Alligator mississippiensis: one gene and its partner. The protein of the gene in region 1 interacts with the protein of each later gene in a pairwise test. Links are inferred from orthologs where the notes say so. Each region holds a gene or a part of one and is shown on either strand. Other genes may lie near its edges. The genes, in order: RGL2 and RAP1B.

Region 1 (3,903 bases):
TGATAGGGGGGATCAGGGGTCATGAAGCTGGCAGTGAGATTTGGGGTTGGGGGTCAGAGGGCTCGCAATGAAGTCAGGGGCTGACCTTGGCGGTGCAAATCCACTTCCCAAGCAGGTGCGTGCAGTGCTATGGTGTGGGGGTCAGGGGTCATGGACCTGGCACGAGGGTTAGGGGATGAACTCAGCGACCCGGATCCACTTAAGCAGGTGGGTGCAGTGTTACAGGATTGGGGTCAGAATTGCAAGCCTGGCTGCAGGGTCAGGGTTTAGGGTTACAGGTCTGGCTCCAGGGTTAAGGGCTGAACTCGGCAATGCAGATTCACTTCTGGAACAGGGGGGTGCACTGTTAAGGTACAGGTTAGGGGTTATGGGGCTGGCAGTGGAGTCAGGGGCTGACCTCAGCTACACGGATCCATTTCTCCAGCAGGCGGGCACGCTGTAGTGGGCGCAGGTTGGCAGGCCCCAGGCAGGAGCGGACAACAGCGCCCGCCACGCGGTTGAACTGGCGCACGGTGGCACGGACGCTGGGGCAGGCACCCTCTTGTCCCCGGCGGCCCCGGCGTGACCACAACGAGCCCAGGCACTCATAGGGCACCACGCGCACAAACAGGTCCTGCAGGGGCAAGCGAAGGAGATCAGAGGGATCTACCTCCCGCCCTGCTCCCAAACAGGACAGAGGTAAGTTGGGGTCTGCGGCCGGTATCCCCACCCCGTTGCTTACCGCCTCCAGTAGGGTCAGCTGGGCAGCCACCTGCTCTGCTTGGAAGCCCAGGAAATCCAAGGGATTGGCGTCCTCTTCTGCCTCTTCCTCATCCTCCCCCTCGCCCTCTGGCTCTGCTTGGGGGGGCAGGAATCCAGCATTAGAGCGACAAGCCCCTTATCCCCCCCACACAGCTCAGACTTCACAAGCTTAACTCCACTCCCCAAGTACTGCTTCCCCCTGAGTCCCTCTCACGTGTGTGGGCAGGGGCCCCCAGAAGCTCCTGTAGTTGTTGCTCTGTCTCTGAGCCCTTGCCCGCCGCCACCTGCAGGCTCCGGGACAGCCGTTCCCACAGGCCAGGCTCCAGCACCCCCCTGAAGTCCTCGGGGTACCCCTCCAGCCAGGAGTACAGCACTGACGCGAAGGCCCTGTTGGGGCAGCACAGACATCAGGCAGGGGATGGTGGGGGCAGAGGGATTCACAGACAGACATTTGAGGGGGGTCACTCACCGCCGCACCTCGGTTACATCTGGGGTGGGGGGTCCTGGCTCCAGTGCCCTGACCTCCTCCAGCCTGGGGGAGAAATAGGGGTCAGTGAACGTGGGGGTAGCTGCCTGGAGGCCCCTTGCTCCACCAGCTCCCTCTGGTACCTGTCGAGCAGCAGCTGCAAGACATCGATGGGGCGGGTGAAGGCACGGTGGGTGGCCAGGAAGGCTGGGACGTAGGCAGTGTCGCCCAGGGTCTGAGCCTCCAGCAGGTGCTGCGCCAGCCGGGGCAGAGTCCCTGCTTTCAGGGAGCGGGCTGGCTGCCCCCCCCCGGGGCTCCCCACTGCTGCGGGGGTCTGAGGGGGGAAAAGAGTGTCAGAACCAGCCTCAAACCCACCCCTTCAAGACGGGGGCACCCCTGTAGTGGGTCCCCTGGCACTCACCGCTGGGCGCGTGGCCACCATGTAGATGGCACCATCCTCTGCTGCCTCTGTCAGCGTCACTGGGGCCTGTAGGAGGGGGCAACAGGGTCACTTAGGGCCCCCCTGTCTCCCAGCTACCCCCAGCCCCACTCCTGGCTCACCTTGGCAGGCAGGCAGTACCAGCGTGTGCGGGACAGTGGGGGCCCCTCCTGCCCCCCTGGGTCCAGGCAGCCACCTAGCCGCAGGAACAGCTTCATGGCGCCCAGGGGTCCCTACAGGCCATCCCTCCACTCCAGCTCGCTGTGCACGGGGCTCCGGGGACTGACAGGGCCGAGGGAGGGCCCTTGCCTGGCTCCCGTGCCTGCCACTAGCCTGGGACAGGCCTGGAGCTGCGGGAACCTGAGCTGGGAGGGGCGGGGGCCCCTGTCCCCCTGCTCCTGCCAGGGCAGCTGGGCCGGCCCTGGCCCTGGCCCTGCCGGGTCCGGCCTGGCTCCACGTCCTCCAGGCCCCGTCGGTCCCTGGCTGTCGGCCCGGAGCGCCCTGGCTTCTCTCTCCCCGGTGCTTCCGCCTTCGGGCCCGGGCCCGCCCCCGCCCCGCCTCGCCCCGCCCCGCGCCGCGCCCCTCCCGCTCACCTGGGGCAGGTGGCAGGGGTCGGGGCAGCTCCGGTAGCCGCTGAGCACCACGCCCGGCGCGCGGCCCCCCGGCGCGTCCGCCCCGTCCAGCAGGAGGCGCCGCGAGCGCGAGAGCATGGGGGAGCGGGCGCTCAGCACCCCGGGGTGCCCGGCATGGGCAGGGCAGGGCCCGGCCTGCGGCAGAGGAGCAGAGATCAGTGCCTGCCCCGCCGCGCGCCACGGGCACCCCGGGAGCCCCCTGCCCCCTACCCGCCCCGGGAGCTTCCAGTCCCGAGGGCACCTGGGTCCCGCGGCGGTCGGGTCGGGTCGGGTCTGGGCGGGCGGGCGGGCAGGCGGGGCCGGAGCGGAGCGGAGCGGCCTCGGCCAGTCCGCGGGCTCCAGCGCCGGGGCTTCCCGCAGCCCCGCCCGGCCCGGCTCGGCCCCGCCGCCTCGGGGCAGGAAGCTGCACAATGGCTCGGCTTCCGGCCCTGCGCGGCGCCTTCCGCACACGCAGAGGCACACTCGTGCACTTGCATGCACACACACACACACACACACACACACACACATGCACGCGCGTGCGCTTTCGTCTGTGCACACATCTGCACGTGTGCGTACGTATGTGTACACTTATGTACCTGCATGCATGCACCTGTACACGCATACTCAGATGGGCACACTCACGCACTTGCATGCACACACCTGCCCAAGCATGTACCTGCATGCACAGGTATGTGCCTACATCCATGCACCTGCACATGCATGCTACTCTACTTGCACATGCCTGCACCTGGATGCACACATCTGCACAGGCATGTACCTACACACTCATGTACAAACCTGCATACCAGCACCTGTCTATCCATGCAAGTATGTGCATGCATATGTATGCACACACCTGTATATGCATGTGCATGCAGCACCCTATCCCTATGGCTCCAGGGCTGGAAGCACCAGAAGCCCCTTGCTCCTCAGCCCAGCAGGTTGGGGGTGTGGGGACTCCATGGGGACTTGGAAAATGAAGAAGAGGCCTGGTTGGGGGAGTCACAGCAAATGCCTTTATTTACACACTGGAAGGCCTCAGCCTCCTGCTTCCATACAGTAGTATAAAGCCCCACTCCCACCAGGGGCAAGGGAAGGGGGAGCAGGGGGAGTATAGGCCGGGTGGGGGGAGCTAGGGGATTGGGGGGTGGGTCTCAAAAAGGAGAAGGGGGTTTCCAGCTGCAGAGGGGAGGGGAGTGGGAGTGCAGAAGTAATGGCACGGGGCACAGGAGGGTCCTGGTAGGGGTTTGGAGGGTGTCAACAGGTGTACCAGGGCCATCTGGAGAATCAGACCTTTCTTAACCTTGCCAGCCCCCCTCCCAGCCTTCATCTTTGGGTTCACAGTTGCATCCCAGGGGGCCTCAGAGGCCACAACTCCCTCCTTGATCTCCTTGGGCGGCTCCACTCCGGCTTCACTCTGACTTCTATGGGGAGAAAGAGCTGTCAGCTAGAGTCCAGCAGGGCCGGGCTGGGTGTCCCTTGCAGACTGACTACCTCACTCAGGGGTGCACAAAGTACCTGAAGCACTGGGTTGGTCTCTGTTGACCCCGCTGCCACCCCATCCCCCTTTTCTCCAGCTTCTAGACCCTCGACCTGACCACCGCTGAGTTAGTCTCAAAGATGCACCCTGTCCTCCTGCCTGC
Region 2 (3,903 bases), on another chromosome or scaffold:
TTATTCTTGAAGACAGAAATACACTTTTTCCAAGTTAGCAATAGTGAACTGATAGCATAGTTCTAGCCTGTAAGTAACAGGTCAAAAATTATTGCTGAGTTAGTCTTTACTAGGAGTAGGGTAAGGAGGGAAGGGCTGATCAAGTAGTCCTAAGCATGATCAATTTTATTGCAAGAGGTATTATGCAAGCAAGGCTTGAATACTTACAGTATCTATTACAACTTAAGTTCAAGACTCGTGGCTGTCTATAGCCTCCAGAAATCTCCTAACACCGTTAGATGGCATGTCCCTGCAATAGGCAGGAACCTAGAGAAGATGAACTGCTTTAACCAAACAGCCAATATCACTGCCAAAGTTTTTGCTACCCAGCAGTTACAGCAGCAGCCAGGGTGCATTTTACTGATCAGTTAGCAATCTCAGTTCTAGCCAGAAGGAAGAATACATTTTATACTGTAGACTCTTCCCAGTGAAAGGAGAAATAAGGAACCAGAATCCTGAACAAAGTAGATAAAAGCACTTAAAAGCACCCTGAATTAACTTCTTCCACTGGTTCCATTTAACAAAGGCATAAGTCAGTCATGAAGCCATTGCACAATTAAGGAAACCATTACTGTGAAGTTTACTGAAGGGTAGAAAAACCCTTTGCAGCCTCGAAGTATGACCTAGTATAACAAGGAACTGTGTCAGCCTTGTATCCAAGTATTTGTTGTACAGTACATGCATCAAGTAGGTTAGCAACACTTAATTAGGGCATCTCTGTTACAGGACATTTCTTGTTATAACTAAGAAATGAGTTTCCAATATCTTTTTTTGGAACAGAAATATTTAGGTGAACCTACGTTATAAAAAAAAAAAAAGCTTGGGAAAGCACCCCGTCCACTAGTTCACTGCTAAAACATTTGAAAGTGGAGCTGATGCATGTTGGAACTGAAACCAGACCTTTAAGGCAGCAAAATTCCTCTAGAAGAGACTGGTGTTCTGTACAATCACATTTTGGCCTAGATCAGTGATTGTCATCCTTTTTTGGACCAGGATCCATTTGCAAACATCAATAGCCAGTCTCAACTGAGTGCCTTCCGCCCCCAGCGTGCGGAACCAAGGGTAGCTGTGTAGGGCCTGTGGGGGGCCCCAAGCAGCCTCTTGCAGGCAGGAGCTCTGCCAGCCAGCAAGGGAAAACGCATGGTTTCCCACACTTTCCTCCTTTAAAGGAGAATCTGTTTTTAAAGTTTGTTTGTGACCATTTCATATATTCTTCTGACCCACTTTTGGGTCGTGACCTACCAGTTGAGAAAAGCTGGACTAGATGATGACCTCTGTAGGTCCGTTCCAGCCCAACTTATGATTCCTCTATGGTTTACTTAAGCAAACTTTGTAGAAACAACCCAACCCAGATTGTTAGAGCTGCCTGAACCAGACAATATCTATGACAAACGCTTAAGCGTTTTCCTTTGGACCCGGACGTTATTTCTTTAAAGGGACAGCTTGCAGGAAAGGGCGATACACAGCAGATCGGTAGAGGTTTCGTGGCCCGCCACCCCCTTCGAGCTGGCCAAGAGCCTAACACGCCCTAAACACAGCCCGGGGCTTATTCCACTGGGGCGCGGCGGGGGCTCCGGAGCCAGGGTCTGTTCAGGCCCCGACGACTCTCCGACGTGCTGCCCCCGACATCCGGGCTGCGAAGGCGACTGGGGGGAGGGGAGACGGGGGGACCCTCCGCAGGGCACCGCTCGGCGCAGCTCCGCACACAATAGCGCACGGGGGAGCGGAGACCCCGCGGCAACTTGGGCAGGACCCCGCGGCCGGGAGGGAGCTGCGGGCCCCTCCCCGCGGAGGGGCGCCCAGCCTAGGCGGGGCCGCGGGCTGCCGGGGCGCCGCCGCCCGACCCCGCCCCGCCGCCGCCTCGCAACTTTCCGCTTCCGCTACAACTTGGGCGGCGGCGGCGCCGGGCCGGGCCGGGGCCGCCTCCGCCATGTTCCCGCACTTGCCCCCCTACCATCGCGGCCCCCTCGGCCCCGGTCCCGGTCCCGCTCCCCGCCTGCCTACCTACCGGCCGGCACCGCCGCTGCCGCTGCCCGTGTGGCCTCCGGCCGGACGCGCCACTCCCGCGCGTACTCGCTGCCGCTGCTGGGCGAGGCTCGAGGCCGCCGCCGTGACGCCACACGCCTAGCCTCGCTCTGGCGTCCCCGGCGCGGCCTGGGGGCGGGGCAGGAAGCGCGCGGGGGGCGGGGGTGACCTCTCTACCCCCGGCTCACACTGCGCAGGCGCAGGCTGTCGCGGCGCCCTCCCCTCAGCGGGGTGGCGGTGTTGCGGCCGCCTAGTTCTAGCGGGCGGGAGAGCTTCCCCTATCGCCTGTCAGGGTTGCAGACAGCGGGACCGGCCCTCACCCAATGGGTGCAAGTGCCCCCGTGTCCTGAACCCCACTGGCAGAGACCTGGCCTGGCCTGGGTGGAAGGCCTCATTCTACACCCGCAGCATTGCTCTGTAACCGGGTCGCCCCTGCTAGCCACGGATGTGAGCCTCTTCTATGACTCAAAAACCTGTGAAACGTGCGTAAGAAAAACAAGTGCGAGGCCCCTGATTCTCAAGCACCTCAGATGCTCGCCCACATGGCAGCAGAAACCACACAACGCTATTGCTCTTTGCTTGCATTACTAAGCCTCCTGACAACTAGGGTCAGCCTCCACCGAAATCCACAGGGGATCTATTAATGTGGAAAGAACGGCAACGTGTCTTGGCTCTTCTCCCTGCTCCACATACGTTCATTTTCTATTAAATAATAGAAGATGCCTTTTTTTTCCCAAAAGTCACCAGGGCTCCTTTTCTCTCCAGATCAGAATGGGTTGGAAGAGTAAGTGTTAAAAATAAAGAAGACAGCTCTTCTGGGAAATGCTCAGTAGCGAGCAAACAGTTAATATGCCATGGCAGATAACACTTATTCAGAGGAAGTCTGCCACAGTGAGAAACTGACAGGAAGTTGCAATGGCGCTGCTGGCAGAGGGAGTGGGTGTGGAGGAAGCACACACTTTCTGTTTGTAGCGCAGAGATAGAGAAGGGGGGAAAAAAAGATTACATTTCCCTCCAAATGCATGGTAGTGGCGCATTACTTGCTGTAGTGCTTGGAGTCCATACAACGTAGAATAAACGTAGAGAAGAAGTGGCTAAAGTAGTCAGCAGAGTGACTAAGTCCACATTACGTGTCCTATCTACATTCAGGTCACCAAGTTCTTTTTACTTCTAAAAATAGTTTTCCTTAGGCCCTTGCACCAAAACTCCACAAAGTGTCATAAGATTTCTTCTCGGTCTTTTATGGCTAATCCCGTGTACAGCACTTGGATAATGAATCCCTATAAATGGCAGATCATTAAAGGGGACTCAGGCAGGGAGAAATTAAGTACATAGGCAGTTGCTCCCTTCTGGTCCACTTTTCAGGGTAAAAATCATTCATCTGGGAGATATTGGTTGCTTAACTAGATATATTTACAAGGAGATATTTTAAGTAAAATGATACTCTTGTGTTTCTTGGGACTATTAGTTTTGTATTATTTACTCTTAAAATAAGAATATTTGTGTTTTAGCATACTTTTATTCCTGTTTGTGTAATTTCCATCAGCTCCCTCAAACATCCAATAGATTAAAAGAGAACACTGAAATACATTTCCTGTGCCTTCTCTTAAAAAACATCCACAGCTTTCCTGCGTGAACTAATCACAAATAATAAATGCAGTACTTAGTGCTGATAGAAGTACTGCTAATCGCAGCAAAAAGGTAGCAATGGCTATAGTTAAGGTTACAAATTAGCTTCTATTATGATAATACCTTACCCACCCCAGCACTTTTCCTTACAGTGAGTTAAATCTTGCCCCTTTATTATACTATGGATGACACAGAAGAGCTTGAGGGAGT

The links.
Region 2: the proteins of RGL2 (region 1) and RAP1B interact in a two-hybrid assay, tested with the Homo sapiens proteins (2 studies listed by BioGRID and IntAct). The link is inferred for Alligator mississippiensis from reciprocal best matches to the Homo sapiens genes RGL2 and RAP1B.

What each region holds. Positions count from the first base shown.
Region 1 is NC_081834.1:64,826,485-64,830,387, forward strand, and holds the start of RGL2 (ral guanine nucleotide dissociation stimulator-like 2), read right to left. Parts: upstream 2,635-3,903; 5' UTR 2,520-2,634; intron 2,414-2,519; 5' UTR 2,357-2,413; coding exon 2,240-2,356; intron 2,165-2,239; exon of another isoform or gene 1,865-2,164; coding exon of another isoform or gene 1,769-1,864; intron 1,695-1,768; coding exon 1,629-1,694; intron 1,542-1,628; coding exon 1,351-1,541; intron 1,274-1,350; coding exon 1,211-1,273; intron 1,129-1,210; coding exon 956-1,128; intron 835-955; coding exon 722-834; intron 614-721; coding exon 398-613; intron 1-397. Other genes in the region: TAPBP (tapasin), read right to left, coding at 3,673-3,684. UniProt on the Homo sapiens protein: Probable guanine nucleotide exchange factor. Putative effector of Ras and/or Rap. Associates with the GTP-bound form of Rap 1A and H-Ras in vitro.
Region 2 is NC_081827.1:69,300,050-69,303,952, reverse strand, and holds the start of RAP1B (ras-related protein Rap-1b), read right to left. Parts: upstream 2,203-3,903; 5' UTR 2,044-2,202; intron 1-2,043. UniProt on the Homo sapiens protein: GTP-binding protein that possesses intrinsic GTPase activity. Contributes to the polarizing activity of KRIT1 and CDH5 in the establishment and maintenance of correct endothelial cell polarity and vascular lumen.